Linked DNA regions of Saccharomyces cerevisiae S288C. Each later gene encodes a partner of the first gene's protein in a complex. Each region holds a gene or a part of one and is shown on either strand. Other genes may lie near its edges. A codon is read from its position in the direction of its gene.

What was found.
Region 2: SMC2 (region 1) and YCG1 share a complex: the UniProt entries of both Saccharomyces cerevisiae proteins name them as parts of the condensin complex.
Region 3: the proteins of SMC2 (region 1) and BRN1 are in contact, whole or in part, in a cryo-EM structure (PDB 6YVV), measured with the Saccharomyces cerevisiae proteins. Residues at the interface, in NP_116687.1 of Saccharomyces cerevisiae: Ala169 (codon at 5,734), Gly170 (codon at 5,731), Thr171 (codon at 5,728), Lys172 (codon at 5,725), Glu175 (codon at 5,716), Arg178 (codon at 5,707), Glu179 (codon at 5,704), Glu182 (codon at 5,695), Met185 (codon at 5,686), Ser186 (codon at 5,683), Glu189 (codon at 5,674), Arg196 (codon at 5,653), Leu199 (codon at 5,644), Ile203 (codon at 5,632), Lys206 (codon at 5,623), Leu207 (codon at 5,620), Asn992 (codon at 3,265), Lys995 (codon at 3,256), Met1003 (codon at 3,232), Lys1005 (codon at 3,226), Thr1006 (codon at 3,223), Lys1009 (codon at 3,214), Asp1010 (codon at 3,211), Met1012 (codon at 3,205), Lys1013 (codon at 3,202), Glu1016 (codon at 3,193), Lys1020 (codon at 3,181), Tyr1024 (codon at 3,169), Lys1025 (codon at 3,166), Glu1027 (codon at 3,160); in NP_009455.3 of Saccharomyces cerevisiae: Trp49 (codon at 2,196), Ile54 (codon at 2,211), Phe57 (codon at 2,220), Tyr58 (codon at 2,223), Leu60 (codon at 2,229), Leu63 (codon at 2,238), Glu67 (codon at 2,250), Asn68 (codon at 2,253), Asn69 (codon at 2,256), Ile70 (codon at 2,259), Phe72 (codon at 2,265), Gln73 (codon at 2,268), Ala75 (codon at 2,274), Ser76 (codon at 2,277), Leu79 (codon at 2,286), Asp80 (codon at 2,289), Cys82 (codon at 2,295), Ile83 (codon at 2,298), Tyr86 (codon at 2,307), Ser87 (codon at 2,310), Arg89 (codon at 2,316), Val90 (codon at 2,319), Val93 (codon at 2,328), Thr94 (codon at 2,331), Thr97 (codon at 2,340), Leu100 (codon at 2,349), Leu101 (codon at 2,352), Leu104 (codon at 2,361).

What each region holds. Positions count from the first base shown.
Region 1 is NC_001138.5:213,869-224,253, forward strand, and holds SMC2 (condensin subunit SMC2), read right to left. Parts: upstream 6,239-10,385; coding exon 2,726-6,238; downstream 1-2,725. Other genes in the region: MET10 (sulfite reductase subunit alpha), read left to right, coding at 1-2,551; 60S ribosomal protein uL2 RPL2A, read right to left, coding at 6,639-7,399, 7,547-7,550; RRT5 (Rrt5p), read right to left, coding at 8,222-9,091; 60S ribosomal protein eL29 RPL29, read right to left, coding at 9,390-9,569; MIN10 (Min10p), read right to left, coding at 9,842-10,105. UniProt on the Saccharomyces cerevisiae protein: Central component of the condensin complex, a complex required for conversion of interphase chromatin into mitotic-like condense chromosomes.
Region 2 is NC_001136.10:1,113,179-1,123,806, reverse strand, and holds YCG1 (condensin subunit YCG1), read right to left. Parts: upstream 6,682-10,628; coding exon 3,574-6,681; downstream 1-3,573. Other genes in the region: YSP2 (Ysp2p), read left to right, coding at 1-3,198; small subunit rRNA maturation protein UTP4, read left to right, coding at 7,044-9,374; PEP7 (phosphatidylinositol-3-phosphate binding protein), read left to right, coding at 9,780-10,628. UniProt on the Saccharomyces cerevisiae protein: Regulatory subunit of the condensin complex, a complex required for conversion of interphase chromatin into mitotic-like condense chromosomes.
Region 3 is NC_001134.8:38,780-44,078, forward strand, and holds BRN1 (condensin subunit BRN1), read left to right. Parts: upstream 1-2,051; coding exon 2,052-4,316; downstream 4,317-5,299. Other genes in the region: BNA4 (kynurenine 3-monooxygenase), read left to right, coding at 366-1,748; MRX3 (Mrx3p), read left to right, coding at 4,498-5,299. UniProt on the Saccharomyces cerevisiae protein: Regulatory subunit of the condensin complex, a complex required for conversion of interphase chromatin into mitotic-like condense chromosomes.

The DNA.
Region 1 (10,385 bases):
TTTATTTGACGGATTAAACTACTCGAAAACCGTCTTGCCGTTGGTCGAATCTGTTCCTGAGGCATCTATTTTGGCAAAACTATCCAAAGTTATTGCACCAGATGCTGCCTTTGATGATGTCTTGGATAAGTTTAATGAATTGACTGGATTGAGACTACATAATTTCCAATACTTTGGTGCTCAGGATGCTGAAACTGTGTTTATCACTTATGGGTCTTTAGAATCCGAATTGTTCAACTCTGCGATTAGTGGTAATAATTCCAAAATCGGGTTAATCAACGTCAGAGTGCCATTACCTTTTAACGTTGCTAAGTTTGTCACTCACGTTCCATCCACTACCAAACAAATTGTTGTTATAGGCCAAACTTTGGATGGTTCTTCGCCTTCTTTCTTGAGATCTCAAGTTTCAGCCGCCTTATTTTACCACGGCCGCACCTCAATTAGCGTTTCTGAGTACATCTATCAACCAGATTTCATTTGGTCCCCAAAAGCTGTCAAATCAATTGTATCGTCATTCATCCCTGAATTCACTTACAATGCCGATTCATCTTTCGGCGAAGGATTCATTTATTGGGCCTCTGATAAGAGTATCAATATTGATGTTGCCTCCAAACTTGTGAAAGCTCTGTCTTTGGAAGATGGGAAATTTGTGTCTTTGAGAACGAAATTTGATAACTTGGCTAATGCTGGTACCTTCCAAGCTCAATTTGTGACCTCGAAAGAACAGATACCTGTTTCAAACATCGATTCTACGAAATTATCAGTCGTTGAAGATGTCAGTTTATTGAAGCATTTAGACGTAGCTGCTACCGTCGCAGAACAAGGTTCAATTGCGTTGGTTTCCCAAAAGGCAGTTAAAGATTTGGATTTAAATTCTGTAGAAAGTTACGTCAAGAATTTGGGAATTCCTGAATCATTCCTAATATCTATTGCGAAGAAAAACATCAAATTGTTTATCATCGATGGTGAGACCACTAACGACGAGTCCAAATTGTCCTTGTTTATCCAAGCCGTTTTCTGGAAATTGGCCTTCGGTCTAGATGTCGCAGAATGTACCAACCGTATCTGGAAAAGCATTGATTCAGGTGCAGACATTTCAGCAGCCTCGATTTCTGAATTTCTCACTGGTGCATTCAAAAACTTCCTCAGTGAGGTTCCGCTAGCGCTGTACACTAAATTTTCTGAAATAAACATTGAAAAGAAAGAGGATGAGGAAGAGCCTGCAGCTTTACCAATTTTCGTTAATGAAACATCTTTCCTCCCAAATAACAGTACCATTGAAGAAATACCATTACCTGAGACCTCTGAGATCTCTGATATTGCCAAGAAGTTGTCCTTCAAAGAGGCATATGAAGTTGAGAATAAACTAAGACCCGATTTACCCGTCAAGAACTTCGTCGTGAAAGTTAAAGAAAATAGACGTGTTACGCCTGCTGATTATGATAGATATATTTTCCATATTGAATTCGATATTTCTGGTACTGGAATGACTTATGACATCGGTGAAGCCCTCGGTATTCATGCCAGAAACAATGAATCTTTGGTCAAAGAATTCTTAACCTTCTATGGTCTAAATGAATCCGATGTTGTCTTAGTCCCCAACAAGGACAACCACCATTTGTTAGAAACAAGAACCGTCTTACAAGCATTTGTGGAAAATTTGGATATTTTCGGTAAACCACCAAAAAGATTTTACGAATCATTGATTCCATATGCCTCTAACGAAGAGGAGAAGAAAAAATTAGAGGATTTGGTTACTCCTGCCGGTGCAGTAGATTTGAAGAGATTTCAAGATGTGGAGTATTATACATATGCTGACATTTTTGAATTGTTCCCATCTGTTCGCCCATCTCTTGAGGAACTTGTTACTATCATTGAACCATTGAAGAGAAGAGAATACTCAATTGCCTCCTCTCAGAAAGTTCATCCAAATGAAGTTCATTTATTGATCGTTGTTGTTGATTGGGTGGATAATAAAGGAAGAAAAAGGTACGGTCAAGCTTCTAAGTATATCTCAGACCTTGCTGTCGGTTCAGAATTGGTCGTTAGCGTTAAACCATCTGTTATGAAATTACCACCATCTCCAAAGCAACCAGTTATTATGAGTGGTTTAGGTACTGGTTTGGCACCATTCAAGGCCATTGTTGAAGAGAAATTATGGCAAAAGCAGCAAGGTTATGAGATTGGTGAAGTCTTCCTATATCTAGGTTCAAGACACAAAAGAGAAGAATATTTATATGGTGAGTTATGGGAGGCTTACAAAGATGCAGGTATTATCACACACATCGGCGCTGCTTTCTCAAGAGACCAACCTCAAAAAATTTACATTCAAGATCGTATCAAAGAGAATTTGGATGAATTAAAAACTGCAATGATTGATAATAAAGGTTCATTTTACTTGTGTGGCCCTACTTGGCCAGTTCCAGATATTACTCAAGCTTTGCAAGACATTCTGGCTAAAGACGCCGAGGAAAGAGGCATCAAAGTCGACTTGGATGCCGCAATTGAAGAATTAAAGGAAGCATCAAGATACATTTTAGAAGTCTACTAAATTAATATAGTAATAAAAACTAAATATCTATTTATTGAACCTGTCTTGAACATTTCTATTTTTTTTTTACTTTTAGTTTTCTTCTATGCGCAAGCTTTTCTATTGGCTGCCAAATAGAAAATTATTGAAATATGATTACATTACAATATTTATTTGTCTTATGAAAACTAACCATCACATTATACTAACTACGGAGGTACCATCTTGAAATCTCGTCCTGAAGACCCTATTAGCATTGGCAAACATACCTTCTTTAAGCGAGACTACAATGAACTGAGATCCTTTAAACCTTGTTTTAATCAAATGACCTATATTTTGCGTATGACTTAAATCAAGAGCAGCATCAACTTCATCCAAAATATACATAGGCGCTGGTCGAAATTGCAACAATGCCATAATCAATGACAAAGCAATCAACGACCTTTGCCCACCGGACAATTCAATCAAACTTTCCTTCCATATATTACCAAGCTTTACTTTAACCTCTAAACCCTGCGTTACGTCCTTACCTTCGCATGGAACCAATTTTGCAAATGAATTTGGTAAAAGGTCTGCAAAAATATTACCAAAATCAAGTGTCACTTTCTCCCATGTTTTGACTAAAGTTTCTCTTTTATATTCGTTCAACTTCGATATAGTCTCTTGGATTTTCATCTTATCTTTTTCAATCGTTTTAATCATTGTTTTTAATGCTGCCTCCTTTTTCTCAACATTTTCTATCATATTCATAATATTTGGATTAACTTTTTTTCTGAGCTCTTGAAACTTCTCGTTCAATTGTTTACTCCTTTCTCTGTAAGTATCCAAATCGATACCCTCATTTTGTTTGACGATATTTCTCACCAGATCAAAATCCTCAAGAAATTCGTGTTTCTGTCGCAGATCTTCAATTATCTTTTCCATGTTGTTCGTATTAGACTTATATTTGTTCAAGTCATGGACCAATTTTTGTAGTTCTAATTCACTGCTTTTTTTCTCGTCCTGTTTTTTCTTTATCAATGTTTCTAATTCATTTAGTTCATCATCAATGTCCATCAACCTTTTCTTTTCTTCGTTCAGTTCTGTCTGGACTGTTACAAGGTCGTCTTCAACACCTCGTATCTTTCCCTCCAAATCAGAATTTTCCAATTTCAAACTTTCAATAGATTTCAAATGGTTATGCAATAGCGTCTTATTAGAATCTAGTTCTGAGCTCAATTGCTCTGTTTCTAATTCCAAGTTTTGAAACAAGTCATATTTACGTTCTGACTCCGATTCCTGCTCCTCCAGCTCTTTCGCCAATAGTTTCAATTCCTTCTTTAATTCATTTAACTTGGATCCTTTATCGCTATCGTACTCCTTCATGTCTTTTTCAATGGTCGAAACTTCTTCTTGACATTTCTTTAAGCTCATTTGCTTGGTTTTGATTTCATTCTCACACTCTCCAATGTCCCTCAAAATTTCTTCATTCCTAGCAATTATTTGGGAAGATGGATTCGCGTCGAGATTACGCTTAGCCAAATCCAATTTATGCAACGAGAGATTTAAATCACTTTGAATGGTCTTTGTTTTTTGCGATGTAGCATATTGCGTCTGTAGCTCTTCCGTTACATGGTTGAGATCAGCCTGAATGGTCTCAATTTGTTTTTGAATTTGATTGTATTTTTGAATATCAACTAATAACGATTCAGAGGTATTTCTACTACCACCAGACAATGTACCCTCTGGGTCGTATACATCACCTTGAAGGGTGATACTTCTAGCGCGGATCTTTGGATGGAAGGTAATTTTCTTTGCTGTTTCCGGATCTTCACAGATTAAACTATTTCCAAAAATAAATTCCATCGCTTTAGTGATAGATTCATCAAACCTTATTAAATTTATTGCCAATTCAACTTTCCCAGGAGCAATTTTCTTGGCTAAATCAAGCACTTGAGAACTTATTGGCCTCGTATATATCTTATCAAGAGGTATGATGGTAACACGCTTGCGTAATCTTCCTCTTTCTAATAGCTGAGTGGCCGTCTGAGAATCTTGAACAACAACATTGAATAGCCTACCTCCGGCACAAGTTTGCAAAGCAGTAGCATAGCGAATATTATCATTATCTATCTGGAAAAGTTGACCCACCACCCCATGGACAAAGCTGGCTTCAAAATTAGGATAAGGTTTCGTATAGTTAAATTCCAGATTTGTTACGCGTCTTTTTAAATATTCAGAGTTCTTACATGTTTGATAATAATGGCTCTTCAATTTATCCTCTCTTTGCTTCAGGTCTTTAATTCGTGATGGATCAAACCCATATTCGACTAGTCGGGCTCGTAGTTTATCGCACGTTTCTTGGCATTGTTTAACATGCTTCACATTTAACTCGTTATCTTTCGTGGCCTCCTTTAATTTAGGTTCAATTGTCAATAGCTCTTTCTTCAACAACTCCATTTTCATGCTTGATTTTTTTATCGCCAAGGAGACTTCATTCAGCTCAGTCTTTGCCTTGGCCAACTGTGCGTTATAACCACCGTCTGCGGCACCGGTCGAGGAAATACCTGTGGTTAAAGTGGAAACTAATTCTTCTTTTCGTTTATAAAGATCCCTTTGTTTACTGAGTTGTTCCTGCACCATTTTATAATCCTTTTCAGTGTTAGCGTATGCCGATTTTTTTTCGATTAGCTTTGCAGAGGAACTTGCAATTTCTGACTCCAGAGCCTTTGATTTTTCAGTAGTATCATTCAAATTTTCTACTTTTATCGACAGTGAAGTTTTCAAACGAGAAATTTCATTTAAAAGACCGTTCTCCTTATTTTCCAACTTGGAGATTGTGCCTTCTTTGTGTAGTTCTTTTTCTTTCTGAAGTTTGATTTCCTCGACATCCTCATTCAAACTGTCTATTTCTTCGGAAGTTTTCTTAACAAATTCATTTAACATTTTCATACGAGTCTCACCGTTCTCCAGAGTTTCTCTTATTGATGTATGTTTATGTTTAATGTTATAGTATTCATAGGATACAACAATTCGTTCAGTTTTTTCCAAATCAGTCTGAGTAGACTGAAATTCTAGGAACATTCTCTTTTCGTTTCGAAGTTTTTCCAGTTTAGGTTCGATCTCTTCAGTTAACAGAGTCCTGTTCTCCTGTAATTTAGTTTCTTTCTTAGACATTGTTCTTTCTGCCTTTTCCCTACGATCCTCGAACATTTTTGTCCCTGCTGCCTCTTCAATCAGTGATAAGATCTCTGAGGGTTTCATATTCAAAACCTTGGTAATTTTACCTTGCATGATTAAAAAATTAGGATTATTGATATTTAACTGCACGGATTGAAATAGTTGCAAAACCGACTGTTGAGGTGCCCTATGCCCATTTATCAGATATTTAGAAGTTCCACCAAGCACGACTTGCCTTGTAACAGAGATTTGAGGAGAGTTAGTGAACCCAATGGGAGAATTTGATTTATCGGTATTATCAAAAACAATGGTTACGCTTGCCTTGGTAACACCTGCTTGACCACGCTTATAGATCAAATCTTGCAGGCTAGATGCTCGCACAGTGCTCATTGATGCTATACCGAGCACGAAGCAAATGGCGTCCAAAATGTTCGACTTACCGGACCCATTTAGACCTGTAATAGCATTGAATTGAGGGTCCCAATCAGTAATGACTGTTCTTGTAGCGTATGATTTGAAACCATCAATAATCAATTCCTCTACCTTCATGCGGTAACGATACTAAAATTGACTTGTATTTACGTGGTCTGCCTCGAGATTTCTTGACTGCACCGTGTGTTTACTGTTGTTGATCTTAAAATTAGAAATGCCCATCATCAGAGCCACGCAACACGGTAATCACTATAAACGCGTAAGGCAGAAAGCCATTTTATTCAAGAAGTCAACCCCCTCCATGAAGCAATGCTTCACAGGGGAGAAGGGGGGAGCTTATGAGAGTATATTAAAGTTTACTTTGAAGAAATATTCTATTACTACAGAACAAAATCTAATTTAGAAATTTTTCTTTAAAAATAAGTGTTATGTTATATTGTATTGTTTGCTTTGAGGAATTTTTTGAGTTATCTTTTTTTTTTTAGATCTTGCTTAAAGAATGACTATTTTACATAATCTAATCTTGGGTCTTTTGAGAACCACGTAACAAACCAGTTCTTCTGGCGGCAATCAAACCGGCCTTTTGACCAGAAACAGCACCTCTAGAGATGGTAGAAGCCTTACCAATATGTTGATGGTTACCACCACCGTGAGGGTGATCAACTGGATTCATGGCAACACCACGGGTCTTTGGCCAAGAGTTTCTCTTCAATCTGTACTTGTGGAAAGCACGACCAGCCTTCAACAATGGTTTGTCAACTCTACCACCACCGGCAATGACACCGATGACACCTCTGGCATCAGAAGAGATAACCTTCTTGGCACCGGATGGTAATCTGACTCTAGTCTTGTTTTCGTCTGGGTTGTGACCGATGATAATAACGTAGTTACCGGAAGCTCTGGCTAGGGCACCTCTGTCACCTGGCTTTTCTTCAACGTTGGAGACAATGGTACCTTCTGGGACAGAACCCAATGGCAAGACGTTACCGACGTTCAAAGAAGCCTTCTTACCGGCGTAAATGAATTGACCAGTGTGGACACCTTCGTTAGCAATAAAGATTTCTTCACGCAATCTGTACTTGTATGGGTCACGGAAGACAACCTTGGCCAATGGGGCACCTCTACCGGAGTCGTGGACAATTTGCTTAACGATACCACGAATGTAACCGTGACGTTCAGCATAATCCAAAGTTCTCAACTTGGCAGCACCTTGTCTCAATCTGGTGTGGGAGGTAAAGATAGAACCAGCACCCTTTCTTTGGTTACGAATAACTCTACCTGAATAAAAAATAATGAGAAAAAACACAGTTCTGTTAGTATACACGATACATTTTCAACAAAAGGAATAAAAAGACTGTAAAAGGGTGTGATGACATTGCGCCATTACGACAATCACATGGTTGTTAAATCACGGTGCTGACATACCCATTGCTTATTGATCTAATGGTTTCTTAGTTTGCTCAGAAATGGTTATTAGTCGCTAAAAAATGACCCAATAATAAAAAAAACGAGGTAATGATATTGAAGGAGGGGAGGGGCAGGGTTCAATCGATTATGCCTATGCGATAGTGCATTGCGTAGTAATCCATAGGTTCACATCCATGTGCACTGGTGCTGCGTTTGGCAATTCCCATACTATTCCAGATTGATCTGATCGTGCAGAGCAATGCCAAACCATCGACCGTAGGCCCAACGGTGAAACAATACGCGGAGAACGCTTAGCCGCTAGGCAGAACGCCTAGTTTACACAGTGGGAGAATGAGGATAGGCCTCTGCCTACGGTACCTTCGAATACAGGGAAAGTGGGAAGAGTGAGCTGCCGAAGTGAAAGAGGCTTACGCATTTTTTCTTTGGGAAGCGGACGCAGGACTAAGCTCATCATTTTCGAAAAAAAAAGAAAGTTGGAGCCGGAAAGGAATTGGGTGTTAAAAATGTACGGGTGAAAAAAGTCTTATTTTGTCTTAAAAGGGGTTCCCCCAGCCGCAAAAGAAAAGAAAAGAAAAATAATAGATCAATTTTAGTTTACTTAGCAATAAACGAATATATGTATTTTATGTTAAGTTCTCACTGTTTATACCCCCTTTTCAATTTTATAAAGATCTAAGTAGCAGCCACGGTTGGACGATCGGAAGACGAAGCAGGCGGAGGTGGGACATCATTGGTTTCCGCATTGTCTTGCCCTTCCTGCACTTGCTCCGCTGGCTCTACTGGCGCTGGCGCTGGCGCTGGCTCTGCCAATGCTGCTGGAGGTGGGTCGCGCGCATTGGTTAAGTTGTCCTTGACCAATTGTTTAATTTCTTGAATCTTAGAGACGTAAGCGGGCTTCACTATTATCGATTTGCCCCTCAAAGTAGCTGTCTTGGCCACACTGTCACAAATGTCCCCAATTGGGGTTTCAGATTGCAAAGTGACCAAAGCGGCAGTAATTTGGTGTGGAGCAAAAGGAATACACTTTCTCCTGTACACCTTGGACCTGTAAATCCAGATTTCTTGAGGCGAGTAGAGCTGGAACAACTCACGGATCTCACTGTCGGTTATATCGTCTGGCAGGTCGTGACAGTAAACCGTATCCGCGGCAGTCTCTGGTGTCTTCTTAACCTTATTTTTTTCTTTGGGCTTCTTTACATCCGTGTCTGGAGTAGAGTCTGCCTCGTAAGGAACGTGTAACTTTAGAAATAGTTTCTGATTTTGGAAAACGGTTCCGTTCAAGTCTTGAATGGCCTTCAAAGCCAGAGTATTGTTTGCGAACTGGGCAAATGCTATGCCTAGTGGTTTGCGAGGGTTGCTATTGTGCCTTTTGCTGAATCTGCGGACGGTCTGCGTTGGAATCAACACTGAACTGGCGCCATAGTTGTTTAGGAAGGCATGTAGGTCTCGCTCACTCGCCGTGAATGGCAGGTTCGAAATGTAAACTGTGGTAATGGTAGTGGTAGTGTCACTGGTAGTGTCATTGTTAACTTGTTCTGTCATTGCGGGCTTGTTTGTATGCTTATGTGAGGCCTTATACTTCTCTATGTGTTGCTACTCAGTAGAAGGTCAACACCATTGTTTTATACATCATTTATCTTTTGTTATTAATTTGTGACGCTTCCATTTTGTGGCACATAAGGAGGAAAAAGAAAATTAAAAGAAAAAAAAAAAGAAATAAAAAAAGAAAACGGTACTGGATATTGAGATAAATTTTCCTTCAATTAAGATAATAAAACATGTTATATAAAATCAGACAAAATAATATGTAAATTTTTAACGTATTATAATCTTAAAAAGTTTATTTCTTGGCAGCAGCCAAAGCCTTAGCAGTGCCGTGTAGGGCATGCTTGTGGTTTCTTCTAAACTTTGGATCAACACCTTTCAAAGAAGGGTACTTGTAGGTCTTTGGCTTCTTGATACCGTTTCTGTGAGCCTTTCTGGTTTGGTTGTGAGCGGTATGGTTCTTAGACTTAGCCATTTTCTGGAGAAGACGATGAATGTACGCAGAAATTGCGAATGGTCATTAAAGGTTAGTAAAAATGATTCATAACGGTGGAGGGGAGTAGCGTGGCAGCTAACTGCCAATCTGAAGTGGTGCTAGCGGGGGCAACTTCGAACAAGGGTATGCTAAAGGTAATTGAACGTTCGAGAAAGAGCGTTCGCTATAAGTTCAAACACTGGTAACTTTCCATTATTTTCCCTTCTCTCTTTTTTTCTTTATATCCTCCACTATATGCCACTCAGCGCACCTCAGATTTGGCTACCTGCATTTCCAATGGGCGAAATGGGGACTTCATGATAATATAACGTACTTTCTAACTGTATTGTTGTTCCGGGGTTCTTGAATATTGAATGAAAAATGTTATAAAATAATGGGTTGAATCTTGAAATATGCAGTATTGAAATATTCTGAAATTGTATGTATCCAGAGATTATGGCAAAGCCTAAAGGGAAAATGGTAGACTTCCTACATTGAGAATATCGCTGGTTTTCCCGAGCGCGGCTAGCGACCATTTTTCTTTGTCCTTACAGAACTAAAAAAAAAAAACCAAAAAAAAGTCGAAAACAAGAATACATGCGCTGTATGGGTCTAAGAGTATGTACGGATGTAAAAGAAAACAGTACTAGACAGAGCGCATAAAAAAAGCCTAATCCCTTTTCCGTCTGTATACTTGTGCTCCCTTATAAAAAAAATTAAAAATTAAAAAATAAAAATAAGAATAGTGTATAAAATTATTTTTGCTTTGATTTTAGTTTATTTATTTACTTTCTAAATACAGTAGGTTAAATAAGG
Region 2 (10,628 bases), on another chromosome or scaffold:
CCTACAAATACATCGACTACGCCCCTTTCAGGTTCTTTGACACCTAACAATAGAAACGTAAATGCAAACTCTAACTCTGAAACCGAGAACGACAATGATAGGGATGATAGATCAAATGTTGGCAAAGTGAAATTTCAGCCCTTGAAAGTACACGAGCCTGCAATCTCAACCTTTGGTAAAGGCAACTTAACTTTAGAGGCAGTGGCAGGATCCTCTGATATTGATAATACAACTATTGATCTGGACGAGAATAATACCAATAATAATCCAAATGCAAGTTCAACAAACTTGAGTCATATTAGCAAAAGTAACGTAAACAATAATCTCGGTCCAAAAGAATTAAACACAAGTTATCGTAATAGTACCTATATCGACATGGCAAGGTTTGAAAATTCACAATCGAACCTTTCTAGCCATAGGGCAAGAAGTAAGACACTGCCCGCGAACAAAGCATTAGAGAATGCCGTTGGTGATGAAGGTAATAGTAAAAGAAATTCAAGATATTCTTCTTATTCAAACGATATGGCCTTTGATGATGCCGACGAAAGAAAATTCAGAAGTATGTCCAAAAAATTCTTAAACAGGAGATCTTTTTCACCTTCGAACTTAGGCAATAAAGTGATCCCTGGAATTAATTTAAGAAATTCATTCAACAAAAATAGGAATAGTAGTTCTGATTTCTTTAGTACAAATCAGGGACAGCAAATGCCAAGAACAAGTACTGCGGGCTCAGGTAATATCCATGCAATAATGGGTTTGGATTCTGGCAATGATGATTTCAAGTTAGAAGGTATTGAATATGCTTCAGAAAAGAAAAACAGCGAATTTCATACCCTTTTCAAGGACTGCGATATTAATCCTAACGAAAAGTTAATTGTCGATCATAGTTGTGCACTATCTCGTGATATTCTTTTACAAGGAAGGATGTATATATCTGATGCACACATTGGATTTTTCTCAAACATTTTGGGATGGGTCAGTACAGTTTTCATTCCGTTTAAGGAAATCGTTCAGATTGAGAAAAAGACTACCGCCGGAATTTTCCCCAATGGTATTGTAATTGATACGTTGCATACAAAGTACATCTTCGCCTCTTTTATGTCAAGGGATGCTACCTTTGATTTAATTACAGATGTATGGAATCAGATCATCTTAGGTAAAAAATATAGGAATGGCTTCGGTAATAATGACGACGGTACGATAAGCGATTCGAGCAGTGCATTTTTTGATGATTCCGATGACAATGACGACGATGGAGACCTGGATGACGATGACCCTGATATTAATAGCACAGATATGACATCTAGTGACGATATTGATGCTGATGTTTTCAATGAATCAAATGATCTTGGTAAAAACCAAAAATCTACGAACTACTTATTGGGTCCCAATAAACACTCTCCAACCACTGCTGATTTCAAACCTTCCAATAATGATCATTTGGTTATTGAAGCAAATATTAATGCACCATTAGGAAAAGTAGTAAATCTTTTATACGGTGAAGACGTCTCTTACTATGAAAGGATCCTTAAAGCTCAGAAAAATTTTGAAATATCGCCAATCCCTAACAATTTCCTCACAAAGAAAATTCGTGACTATGCATATACGAAACCGTTATCAGGCAGCATTGGTCCAAGTAAAACAAAATGTTTGATCACAGATACTTTAGAGCATTATGATTTGGAAGACTATGTTAAAGTGCTCAGTATTACCAAGAACCCGGATGTTCCTTCAGGGAATATCTTTTCAGTGAAAACTGTTTTCCTTTTCTCTTGGGATAAAAACAACTCCACCAAATTAACAGTTTACAATTCTGTTGATTGGACTGGTAAAAGTTGGATCAAAAGTATGATTGAAAAGGGAACATTTGATGGTGTTGCGGACACCACAAAGATAATGATATCTGAAATTAAGAAAATCTTAAGTGATGAAGACTCAAACATAAACTCAAAGCATCAAGCCAGCAATAATGAATCAGAAGAAGAAATTATTAATCTGCCAACTATTGGACCTCCAGTTCATGATCCGACGGAACCTGATTTTCAAAAAGGAAAAGACGATACAGTTATCGATGAAAAAATTAATATACCAGTTCCTTTAGGAACAGTGTTTTCACTATTGTATGGTGATGACACATCATATATTAAGAAAATCATCGAAAACCAGAATAACTTTAATGTTTGTGATATTCCAAAGTTTGTGAATAACGCAAGAGAGATCACCTATACCAAAAAATTGAACAATTCATTCGGTCCGAAGCAAACTAAATGTATAGTCACAGAGACCATCGAGCATATGGATTTGAACAGTTTTTTTATGGTAAAACAAATAGTCAGATCTCCGGATGTTCCTTACGGTAGTTCATTTTCAGTACATACGAGATTTTTCTATTCCTGGGGTGATCACAACACAACGAACATGAAAGTTGTCACCAATGTTGTCTGGACAGGTAAATCAATGCTGAAAGGAACCATTGAGAAAGGTTCAATTGATGGACAAAGAAGTTCAACAAAGCAACTCGTAGATGATCTCAAAAAAATAATTTCTAATGCTAGTTCAACGAAGAAAAAATCGAGGAGAAGAGGAAAGACGGTAAATAAAAGGAAATCATCACCATCCACTATCAAGAATGAGAAGAATGAAGAAAACTTCGAAGATACAAGTACCAAAAATTCATTTTTTTCCGCTTTCTCAATGTTACAACAAGTAAACATAACATCCGTTCAAGGAATTATGACAATTATCTCTTTTTTTATTTGCTTGATTTTCTTCTTTAGATTATTATTCCATTCTAAGAATACTTCGAACATCCAGATTATTACTCCAGGAACAATCTTAATTAATGGAAATGAATATAATTACGTTCCTAATTTTAAAACACTCTATCATGTTTACGAAGATAATATTATAAAAGATGCCCGCCGTAAAGACTCGAATAAAAATAACATAGTCACCGATACGGAGGGTCTCATATGGGACTGGTTGATAGATCGTGGAAATGGAACCGTTCAAAATAGTGTCTTGTCCAATCATATTAAGGAGAGTAATAACAAGAAGGTTAAGCTCGTAAATGGAGTTAGTGATCATAAAATACAGCAGCTAGTTGAATCTATAAAAATCACCGAATTGCAGCTGCAAGAAATGAAAGAATTATTGGCCCAAACGGATAACACGTCGGCTACTAACCAATTACTTTGATAAAATAACATTTTTCGTTCTAATATAGTCAAGTAGGAAAATTCTACTCGACTTTATTTTGTTCTTTTGATCTTATTTCTTTTACTTTAATTATATATAGGATATTTTCTTAGGATAATTGTAATAAAATGCATTAATAGTTTTATATGTCCATTTCTGGTGCATTACTGGACATAATTTCAGTTCCTTTCACCAAAGAATTTATAGCCTTGGAATATTTCCATAATTTGTCCCACCGGGTAATGTGCGTAATGCAATAACATATAGCATCTATATCTGGTAAGCGTAGAAGAATTAACAAACCTAAGAATAAAATACAAATATGTTTACAACCAAAAAATCAACTTAAATAGATGAAGAGCTCGCATATCAATTTTAACAGACCTCGCTGAAAGACTCTGAATCCTTATCTTCTTCATCTATGGACATTGCATCTGATTTCTCGTCAGGTAAAACAAAACTTACATTTTTTGCTACAGTTGACGTGTCTTGAATACTCATGTTTTCCAGGTTTTTGGATGTGTCAATTTGCTCCGCTTCTGATCTCGTTCTTTTCCTTGAGTTACTTTGCTCTGTTGTATTGTCAACTGCCGAAATATTAACAGTTGTTTTAGTCAATTCTGTGTTATTTCCATCAGTTATATCAGCAGCGTGTTCTATGGTGTCATTTGAAGATTTATTGAATGAATTCCCCAAAATAGACGAGTATTGGTCATTCGCAGTGTTGTTCTCATCTTTTGTCTGAGTTTCTGACCTTTCATTGATCTCTTCAATCAGCGAATTCAAATTATTCCTTAGCTTGTCCAGAGCATTTTTGCTAACATTGTCTAAATTATCATTTTCTGCAATATCGTCAGAATACTCAAGAAGTTCTTTCAAAGTAGAATAATCTTGTTCAGAAGAAAGAAATATAGCGTTTATATTAGTGATGATCATCTTCTTTATTTCTTTCTTCTCAATTTGAGCGTATATTTTGAGCACATCGATCAAGAATGTAAGCTGCACTGTATCTTTTTTTGTTGAACCTGTCTGGTTAACTAAGTTACGTGGATCAGTCCAAAATAGCAACTGTTGAAATATTATGTTAGGCTTTAGCATAGCTTCACGGTCTACCTCAGGTATTACAGAGCTCTGTAAATCGTCCCAAAGAACACATAGTCTTAAGAGTATGTCCGCAGCCGTCCTAGACATACGTTGTTGATGAGCAGGATGTGAAAAACAATAGACTGGAATGCAGAAGGCAAATGCCTGTACCAGCGCTTCGTTTGAGGAATTTATCGGCGAAAAATATGACAAAACCAACGTTTCAAACAAATCATCATCAGTGAACACGTCTGCCAAAAATAGTTTGCATAAACCCTCCGCTGCTATCACCTGACATTCCGGTAAACCGTTATTCTTTAAAACCTTGTAAAATATTTTGTGCAACGAGATTGAGTCAACTTTGCCTTCTCCGTCTACCACAGTGTTCCCATGTACGGAAAAAATATCTACAATGACTTGTAACGCAATATACTTTAATGATGCATTACCTTTCGAAACGCACATACCTAAGATGTACATGTTATCAATAGCCAACTTCACATCCAAGAGACAACATAAACCAAGGTTCTTGACACCAAGCTCCCTAATATTTGGCGCGGTATTTCTAACCGCTGGTGTGATCAAAGTGTCCATCAACGACGCAATTAAAATGTTTTCTGTTAACGGTGTGTTAACTAGTTCTAGCATATATGATGACCTTGTAAGACAGAGAACAATTGTTGCTGAGGACGCTTCCTTTTCGGGTGGGAGATTATTTATTATGTCACTCTCAGATACGTTGCCGTTTCCCTGCACTAAGTTTTCTACAGCAGAATGGAAGGATGAAATATTGTCGTCTTCTTCATCCTCGTTAACTTCGTCATTATGTGTGCCGTTTTCGTCCTCTTCATCGACGGAAGTCTCATTTCTGCGATTAATCTTCTTGCTTTTTATTTTCTCTTCTTGTTCTTGTTTTTCAATATCGTCGTCTCTAATATCATTAATGATTTCTATTGCCATTGTTACAAAATCTTTTTCATTTATGGACAGACTTTTCATTACACGAATACCAATTTTAATAAGAGGTTCGGAGAGTGTAGTTAAGGCCAGCATATTTCGTACCACTGTAAGCATCGATCTCCTTCCAACCTCATCGCTATAATCATACCTTTCGGCGGCAATCGATAGTTGCTCAATAATAAACTCTAAAGTGTTATAATCAAAATGCGACTGAGAGTCATTAGAAATGTCGTTGTGATGATATCTGAGAAGAATATAATGGTTTAAATGCTCGGATAATTTTGAGGCTTCTGGAAAGTTTTCTTCCAGCATTTCTGTTATATTATTATCCAAACAGTACAAATAAATAGCCCGAAAGAGGAAGGCAATTTCTACGGTAAAGTCTTTCCAAATACTTTCAGGAAATTTGATTTTAGATAATATATCTGGCCTTGATTGAAAAAGTGCTTCTATAGCCTTAACACACACTGAGGATCTTGAGACATCCAATTTTTCTAGTAATTCTATCAAATCGCCATCCAGAGCATTTAACCAATCATGAGCAATGAGTCTCTTACACGCATTTCTCACTGATAATTCCCTATCTTCTAAACCCCACTCAATCAATTGATCAAAAATATGCGGCTCAATATCATCGAAACACTTTCTTCCCATTGATTTCAAAATTCTCGAATACACGAGCCTTCTATTAACGATGTTTACATCTCTAGCCCTCTCCAAGATATACGGTCTAGTATTATTATCATTGATCAAATTCAGCATTGCAGCCCTCCGTACTTCAGCTGACGGATCGTTCTGGATAGAAGCAACTAGAGTTCTCGTAGCTTCAAAATTTTCTTCATTATCAGAAAGCTCAGTTAAATGTTCAGTTTGCTCTTCATCCTGAAATTTAGTTAAACAAAACACAGCCTGTATCCTAACCGTTGGTTCTCTATCATAAATCCTCTTATTTAAAGACAATATTAATAAATTGAAAAGTGATTCATCGATTTCCCCTATATTATCCATTATAACGGCTAATAACTGTAAAACTCTAAATCTGACGTTCTTGTCAGGGCTTTCCACACCACGCAAAACATGTCTTATGAACTGATCGACGAACCTTGAGAATATCCCTTCTTCATCATTCGTGAGCTTATAGTTTTGTTTTTTGGCCAATATCAACTCCCTTTCTAAAGAAGCTATAAATGCAGCTACTAACTTTACTATCCTGTCTCCGATAATCTCATTCTTTTTCAGAGGAAGGATCTTAGTAACTAATTTATCGAACCAAAAGTTAAAAGCATCTTCATAGCCTTGCTCAACAGCCTTTGACTGAATTTTCTTCAAAACTGCTATATGCTTCCTGTGTCCTGCATAAGAACCCTGTGCCTTTTGAAATACTTCAGCAACTGAGTTAAAGATTTTCGTATTAATGTCAATACCATCAGGATCTTGCATGATGGGCGCGGCCTGTTAACTTCTTTGTCTTATCCAAGGCTGTAGGCATTACTGAAGTGTTTTTGTTTGATCTTCAAAGAGCTAAAAAGGTAAACAAACACGAAGGCTCTACCCTTTCATATGCGGTGCACGGATTTTAAAAGTCGCAATAACTCAAGAATACGATAGATGCAATAAATCAGAGGTAAAGTGCTTTAGGCTAATACTATGAGCAATTCAGTATAACCTGCATTATCTCCTTGTTTTCCTTTGTATCCCCCATGATTTTTTTTTCTTGTTATTCCTCTTGATACCATATTAGGCAGGATTTTTTTCAAAAAACCAAATGAAAAATTTTCAGACTGACAAGAAAAAAGCTACGAATGAGCTCATCGCTACTTTCAGTTTTAAAAGAAAAGTCAAGAAGCCTGAAAATACGAAACAAACCGGTGAAGATGACCAGTCAGGAAAGGATGATAGTGCATAGATGCAGATTTGTGGATTTCACTCCTGCCACAATCACATCTCTAGCATTTTCACATAAATCAAATATAAATAAGTTAACTCCGTCCGATTTGAGATTAGCTATTGGTAGATCTAATGGTAACATAGAAATCTGGAATCCTAGAAACAATTGGTTTCAGGAAATGGTTATCGAAGGTGGCAAAGACAGATCAATTGAAGGCCTTTGCTGGAGCAACGTTAACGGCGAGTCTCTAAGGCTATTTTCTATTGGCGGCTCGACTGTGGTAACAGAATGGGATTTAGCAACAGGTTTACCATTAAGAAACTATGATTGCAATTCAGGTGTGATATGGTCTATTTCCATCAACGATTCACAAGACAAGCTGTCTGTGGGTTGCGATAATGGGACGGTGGTCCTCATAGATATCTCTGGCGGGCCTGGTGTCTTGGAACACGATACTATTTTGATGAGACAAGAAGCCAGAGTATTGACTTTGGCTTGGAAAAAGGATGACTTCGTGATTGGTGGTTGTTCTGATGGTAGAATAAGGATTTGGTCTGCACAAAAAAATGACGAAAACATGGGTCGTCTATTACACACTATGAAGGTCGACAAGGCCAAAAAAGAATCAACTCTAGTTTGGTCAGTTATATATTTACCAAGAACTGATCAGATTGCCTCTGGTGATTCTACAGGCTCCATTAAATTCTGGGATTTCCAGTTTGCCACGCTAAACCAGTCATTTAAGGCGCACGATGCAGACGTACTGTGTCTAACTACCGATACTGATAATAATTATGTTTTTAGTGCTGGTGTGGACAGAAAAATCTTTCAATTTTCTCAAAACACTAACAAATCTCAAAAGAACAACAGATGGGTAAATTCTTCTAATAGGTTGCTTCATGGAAACGACATTAGAGCAATATGTGCATACCAATCTAAAGGTGCAGATTTTCTAGTTTCAGGAGGTGTTGAAAAAACACTAGTCATCAACTCACTTACTTCTTTTTCTAATGGAAACTACAGGAAGATGCCAACTGTCGAACCTTATTCAAAGAATGTTTTAGTTAACAAAGAGCAACGCCTTGTTGTTTCATGGAGCGAATCTACTGTTAAGATATGGACAATGGGAACCGATTCTAGTACAGAACAGAATTATAAGCTAGTTTGCAAGTTAACTTTAAAAGATGACCAGAATATCTCAACTTGTTCTTTATCACCTGATGGACAAGTTTTAGTCGTAGGGAGGCCCTCTACCACTAAAGTTTTTCATTTACAGCCCGTAGGTAATAAATTGAAAGTGACTAAACTAGATAATGACCTATTATTGAGAACTTCCACAAAATTAGTCAAGTTCATCGATAATTCCAAAATTGTCATATGCTCTTGCGAAGATGATGTATTTATTGTGGATCTAGAATCTGAAGAAGATGAAAAACCGCAAGAAGTTGAACTTTTGGAGGTTACTTCAACTAAGAGCAGTATCAAAGTTCCCTATATTAACAGGATCAACCATTTGGAAGTAGACCAGAACATTGCAGTAATTTCTCGTGGCTGTGGAGTCGTAGACATATTAGACTTAAAAGCAAGGATTTCTAAACCACTTGCTCGTTTGAATAATTTCATCACCGCTGTTCATATCAATACTTCTAGAAAATCTGTAGTAGTAATTACTGCAGACAATAAGATTTATGAATTCAATATGAATTTGAATTCGGAAGCCGAGAATGAAGATAGCGAAAGCGTATTAACTCAATGGTCAAAAAACAATACGGATAACTTACCAAAAGAATGGAAGACATTAAAAGAGAACTGTGTAGGGATATTTTCAGACATAGAAAATAGTAGCAGATTATGGTTTTGGGGGGCTACTTGGATATCAAGAATAGACTTTGATGTTGACTTCCCTATAAATAAGAGAAGAAAACAGAAAAAACGTACACACGAAGGGCTAACTATCACAGATGAAAGTAATTTCATGAACGACGAGGAAGATGACGAAGATGACGATATTGATATGGAAATCAGCGAAAACTTGAATGTATTATTAAACCAAGGAAACAAAATAAAGTCCACAGATGTACAAAGAAACGAAGAAAGCTCCGGTCACTTCTTCTTTACTGATAAATATAAACCTTTACTGTTTGTTGACTTAATTTCTAGTAATGAATTGGCAATAATTGAAAGAAATCCATTAACTTTTCACTCCAAACAAAAGGCGTTTATTCAACCAAAGTTAGTGTTTTGATTAATTTAAGTCAACATACCGAAGAATAGAGAGATGCTATTAAAAGGCTATCATACTCTAAGGGCATTTTTCAGTTACAAAAAACTCTAATGGCGTTAGTACTTTATAGAAACTCGCTAATGTAAAATAGCCAAGCACATACGCAGACATATATATGTAGTAATCACGTATGCAGACATTAAATGTGAGCCATTTATTGGTATAAATGTATTCCTGAATTACAAAAGTACTGGCGATGGAATCACTCTGGCTATCACTGTTATTTCCAGGCAGGGTAATACTTTGGGAAAACAATAGAATAATGAAAACATATGATCAGTAGCTAAATTGACCGACCTAAAGAGCAAAGCCGGATCTCATGGTTTTTAAAGGGATATCACCGAATTTCCTGGCGACTTATCTATTATGGATCTTGAAAATGTTTCATGTCCCATTTGTCTAAGGAAGTTTGATAACTTACAAGCACTAAATGCACATTTAGATGTTGAGCATGGGTTTAACGATAATGAAGATTCACTCGGTTCCAATGACAGTCGTTTAGTCAATGGTAAACAAAAAAAGGCCAGATCTGTTGATAGCAGTGCGCAAAAGTTGAAAAGAAGCCATTGGGAAAAATTCAAAAAAGGGAAGAGCTGCTGTCACACATGTGGAAGGACTTTGAATAACAATATTGGCGCCATTAATTGTAGGAAATGTGGTAAACTGTATTGCAGAAGGCATCTTCCTAATATGATTAAACTTAATCTTTCCGCACAGTATGACCCCAGAAACGGGAAATGGTACAATTGCTGCCATGATTGTTTCGTCACAAAACCTGGCTATAACGATTATGGCGAAGTAATAGATTTAACACCAGAATTCTTTAAGGTACGAAATATAAAAAGAGAGGACAAAAACTTAAGGCTATTACAATTAGAAAATCGGTTTGTCCGTCTAGTTGATGGTCTGATTACACTCTATAACACATATTCTAGATCCATTATTCATAATTTGAAGATGAATAGTGAAATGTCCAAGTTAGAACGTACAGTTACTCCATGGAGAGATGATAGAAGTGTACTCTTTTGTAACATATGTTCCGAACCATTTGGGCTATTACTAAGGAAGCATCACTGCAGATTATGTGGTATGGTTGTTTGTGATGATGCAAACAGGAACTGCTCAAACGAAATAAGCATAGGTTATTTAATGTCTGCAGCGTCAGATCTGCCATTCGAATACAATATACAGAAGGATGATTTACTTCATATTCCT
Region 3 (5,299 bases), on another chromosome or scaffold:
ATAACTAAATTTAAAGTGCAGCCAAACAATAACCCTGAAAAATCTAAATATCTTAGAATTTTTTTATTTTGATTATTATATATTATTATTATTCTTATGGTAAATAATGCCCCTACTTTTCTTCTAAGGAAATGAGTTACTACAAAAATAAGGAAATATCGCCTGCAAGCGGTTTTTATTTTGGAGTTGTTTTTTTTTTTCCCACAATAGCCTCTAGTTTATTCCATTCTTAGCACTGACTCTTTTTTCCGCCACTATTTCTTATAAAAGGCCCGAATTTCTGGCACGGACGTTGTTTTTAATAATAAAATATTGAATGACAGTTAAAAAATCACGTAGTCAGTTAATCTGTTTAACTTGAAAATATGTCTGAATCAGTGGCCATTATAGGTGCAGGATTAGTAGGCTGCCTTGCAGCTTTGGCATTCTCCAAAGAAGGCTACAATGTCACACTATATGATTTTAGACAAGATCCTCGATTGGACACCACCAAAAATAAAAATTTGAAATCCATTAATTTGGCTATTTCTGCTCGTGGCATTGATGCTCTGAAATCAATAGATCCGGATGCTTGTGAACATATTCTGCAAGATATGATTCCCATGAAAGGCAGGATGATTCATGACTTGAAAGGCAGACAGGAATCACAATTGTATGGCTTGCATGGAGAAGCTATTAATTCTATCAATAGATCTGTATTAAATAATAGCCTTTTGGACGAATTAGAAAAATCTACAACAGAACTGAAGTTCGGTCACAAATTAGTCAAAATCGAATGGACAGATGATAAACAAATCTGTCATTTTGCCATTGGGGAAGATTTGAAAACCCCACATACTGAAAAGTATGATTTTGTCATAGGTTGTGACGGAGCATACTCTGCGACGAGATCGCAAATGCAACGTAAAGTTGAGATGGATTTTTCACAAGAATATATGAATTTACGTTACATTGAACTTTACATCCCGCCTACTGAGGAATTCAAGCCAAACTATGGCGGAAATTTTGCAATAGCTCCTGACCATTTGCACATTTGGCCTCGTCATAAATTCATGTTAATTGCGCTCGCCAACAGTGACGGCTCGTTCACTTCAACCTTTTTCGGTTCTAAAGATCAAATATCAGATCTGATAACTTCCAAGTCACGTGTGAGGGAATTCTTAATCGAGAACTTTCCCGATATTATTAATATTATGGATTTGGACGATGCTGTCAAAAGGTTTATCACTTATCCAAAGGAAAGTCTTGTCTGTGTAAACTGTAAGCCATACGATGTACCAGGCGGAAAGGCCATCCTACTCGGCGACGCTGCCCATGCAATGGTTCCATTTTACGGCCAAGGTATGAATTGCGGATTTGAAGATGTGAGAATTCTTATGGCGCTATTGAAAAAGCATTCAGGAGATCGTTCAAGAGCCTTTACTGAGTACACTCAAACAAGACATAAGGACCTAGTTTCTATTACTGAGCTGGCAAAAAGGAACTATAAAGAAATGTCACATGACGTTACATCCAAGCGGTTTTTATTAAGGAAAAAGCTAGATGCTCTCTTTAGTATTATAATGAAGGATAAGTGGATACCTTTGTATACAATGATATCTTTCAGATCCGATATCTCGTATTCTAGAGCTTTAGAAAGGGCTGGAAAGCAAACACGTATCTTGAAATTCTTAGAATCTCTGACACTCGGTATGTTATCTATTGGCGGTTACAAGCTTTTCAAATTTTTGACAAGAGAACGTTCCTGAAGCCAGTTTATTCTTGCCATCCGTGTACGCTAGGAGAGGATTATTAAAATAAGTGATATATACATATATATATATATATATATATATATAATACACTAATTATTTTATGTGATGTTGATCACGCGAAACGGTAAACGGCTCTGTTCGCGCTTTCTTTGTTTACATTTTAGTGAAGTATTGTCAAGATAATATCCATATGGTTGAACTTTTTATATTGGCTAGTTAAATACTCTATTTATTGCACCAAAAAATCATCTTAGTGGACTTTTTGGAGCAAAAAAAACCAGCAGGTAGTTATATAAGATGACTACACAACTAAGGTATGAAAATAACGATGACGATGAAAGAGTAGAATATAATCTCTTTACCAATAGATCCACCATGATGGCAAATTTTGAAGAATGGATCAAAATGGCTACAGATAATAAAATCAATTCCCGAAATAGTTGGAATTTCGCATTGATCGACTATTTTTATGACTTGGACGTTTTGAAAGATGGCGAGAATAACATCAATTTTCAGAAAGCATCTGCAACCTTGGATGGGTGTATTAAGATTTACTCTTCGAGAGTTGATTCAGTGACAACGGAAACAGGTAAGTTATTGAGCGGGTTGGCACAAAGAAAGACGAATGGGGCATCTAACGGAGATGACAGTAACGGGGGAAATGGTGAAGGGCTTGGAGGTGACAGTGACGAAGCAAATATAGAGATTGATCCCTTAACTGGTATGCCTATATCTAATGATCCTGATGTGAATAACACTAGGCGGAGAGTGTACAACAGAGTTTTAGAAACAACATTGGTGGAGTTCGAAACGATCAAGATGAAAGAGCTAGACCAGGAATTAATAATTGATCCATTATTCAAAAAGGCCTTGGTTGATTTCGATGAAGGTGGCGCCAAGAGTTTATTGTTGAACACATTAAACATAGACAACACTGCAAGAGTCATTTTCGATGCATCAATTAAGGATACACAAAACGTAGGGCAAGGTAAACTTCAAAGGAAAGAAGAAGAATTAATTGAAAGAGATAGTTTAGTAGATGACGAAAATGAACCTAGCCAGTCATTGATAAGTACTCGTAATGACTCAACCGTAAATGATTCCGTTATTAGTGCACCTTCCATGGAAGATGAGATTTTATCTCTTGGTATGGATTTTATAAAATTTGATCAAATTGCGGTGTGTGAAATTTCAGGATCGATTGAGCAACTAAGGAACGTTGTCGAAGATATTAATCAAGCGAAAGACTTTATCGAAAATGTTAACAACAGATTTGATAACTTCTTAACTGAAGAAGAATTGCAAGCAGCTGTCCCAGATAATGCAGAAGATGATAGCGATGGCTTTGATATGGGCATGCAACAGGAGCTGTGCTATCCAGATGAAAATCATGACAATACATCACATGATGAACAAGATGATGATAATGTCAACAGTACCACAGGAAGTATATTCGAAAAAGATTTGATGGCATACTTTGACGAAAATCTAAATAGAAACTGGAGAGGGAGAGAACATTGGAAAGTACGAAATTTTAAGAAAGCAAACTTAGTGAATAAAGAATCCGACCTGTTGGAAGAAACGCGAACTACTATAGGAGATACTACTGACAAAAACACAACGGACGACAAATCGATGGATACGAAGAAGAAGCATAAACAAAAAAAGGTTCTGGAAATTGATTTCTTCAAAACGGATGATAGTTTTGAAGACAAAGTCTTTGCCTCAAAAGGAAGGACAAAGATTGACATGCCGATTAAGAACAGAAAGAACGACACACATTATTTACTGCCGGATGACTTCCATTTTTCCACTGATAGAATAACAAGATTGTTCATTAAACCGGGGCAGAAAATGAGTCTGTTCAGTCATAGGAAGCATACCAGAGGCGACGTTAGTTCGGGGCTTTTTGAAAAAAGCACAGTTTCTGCCAACCATTCAAATAACGACATTCCTACTATTGCAGATGAGCACTTTTGGGCGGATAATTACGAAAGGAAAGAACAAGAGGAAAAAGAAAAGGAGCAGTCTAAAGAGGTTGGTGATGTGGTGGGTGGAGCGCTCGATAATCCGTTTGAAGATGACATGGACGGTGTTGACTTCAACCAAGCTTTCGAAGGAACAGATGATAACGAGGAGGCCAGTGTGAAACTTGATTTACAGGATGACGAAGATCATAAGTTCCCCATTCGAGAAAATAAAGTTACTTATTCAAGAGTTTCGAAAAAAGTTGACGTAAGAAGATTAAAGAAAAACGTATGGAGATCGATCAACAATTTGATACAAGAACATGACAGTAGGAAAAATAGAGAACAAAGCTCTAATGACAGTGAAACCCACACAGAAGATGAATCAACAAAGGAGCTCAAGTTTTCTGATATCATTCAGGGTATAAGTAAAATGTATTCGGATGATACACTAAAGGACATTTCAACAAGCTTTTGTTTTATATGCCTTCTACACTTAGCCAATGAGCATGGGTTGCAGATAACTCATACCGAAAACTATAATGACTTGATAGTGAATTATGAGGATCTAGCGACAACACAGGCAGCGTCATAGTTGATGATCTTTTTTTTTTTTTTTTTTTTTTTTTTTGTGCTGCAAAGTTTCTTAAAGCCTTCGGGCTTACGAAATCCTTTATCGCCGAAAGGGGACCGCTTCGAAAAGTGGATATAAAACAAGGTATTTATTTTTATAGACAATGACCAAATGACAGGATAGATCGAGGGTGAGTTCCAATATGTCCAGAACTATTCCATTTCTATTTAAATTAGTCAACAGGGCAGTAATTTTGCCTACGGCAGGTTTTACATTAGGAGTTGGTGCGTTTGTAAAGGCGTGGCCCGATGATGCCGGTGTTCTATCATTGAATGATCCGCAAACGCCAGCGGAGTTGATTAGTGCGACCAAGAGCCGCCAACCTATGGAGCTGCAGAGGGTTGACATCCTCGCTCAAATCGAGAAAAGCGAGGTTTACAACAAGTTGGCCCAGGATGAGAAGATGCACCATGTCTTATTCAGTGAGAAAATACCAAGCGGGCATAGGGAATATCATGTAGGACAAGGCCTCTTGTTCGGCAAGGGGAAGCTTGAAATTGATCCTTTGGTGTTCCATGATGTGAATCACGGTGAATTAACCGTGATTTATCACTTAGGTGCTGAGTTAGGGAATCGAGACGGTAACGTCCATAAGGGCTTGTTGTCATTGTTGCTGGATGAAGCATTGTGCTATTGTGGCTTCCCTTTGTTGCCTAGTAAAAGAGGTGTAACTGCAAGGCTGTCGCTAGAGTTTTTTGAGGACATTCCTGTAGATACTACGATTATACTAAAAGCAAACGTCAAAGAGATTAAAGGCAGAAAGTGTATCATTGAGGGACACTTGGAACAGTTTCCGTTGGAAGTTTCTTCTCGAAATGGAACTAGAAGTTGGAACTTACCACATATTTGGGGTTTCAACCATAAGCAGGAGATGGCAAAAAAATTTGCCAAGGCCAATTGTATTCTCGTTGAGCCTACTTGGTTCAAATATTTTAAATGGCTTG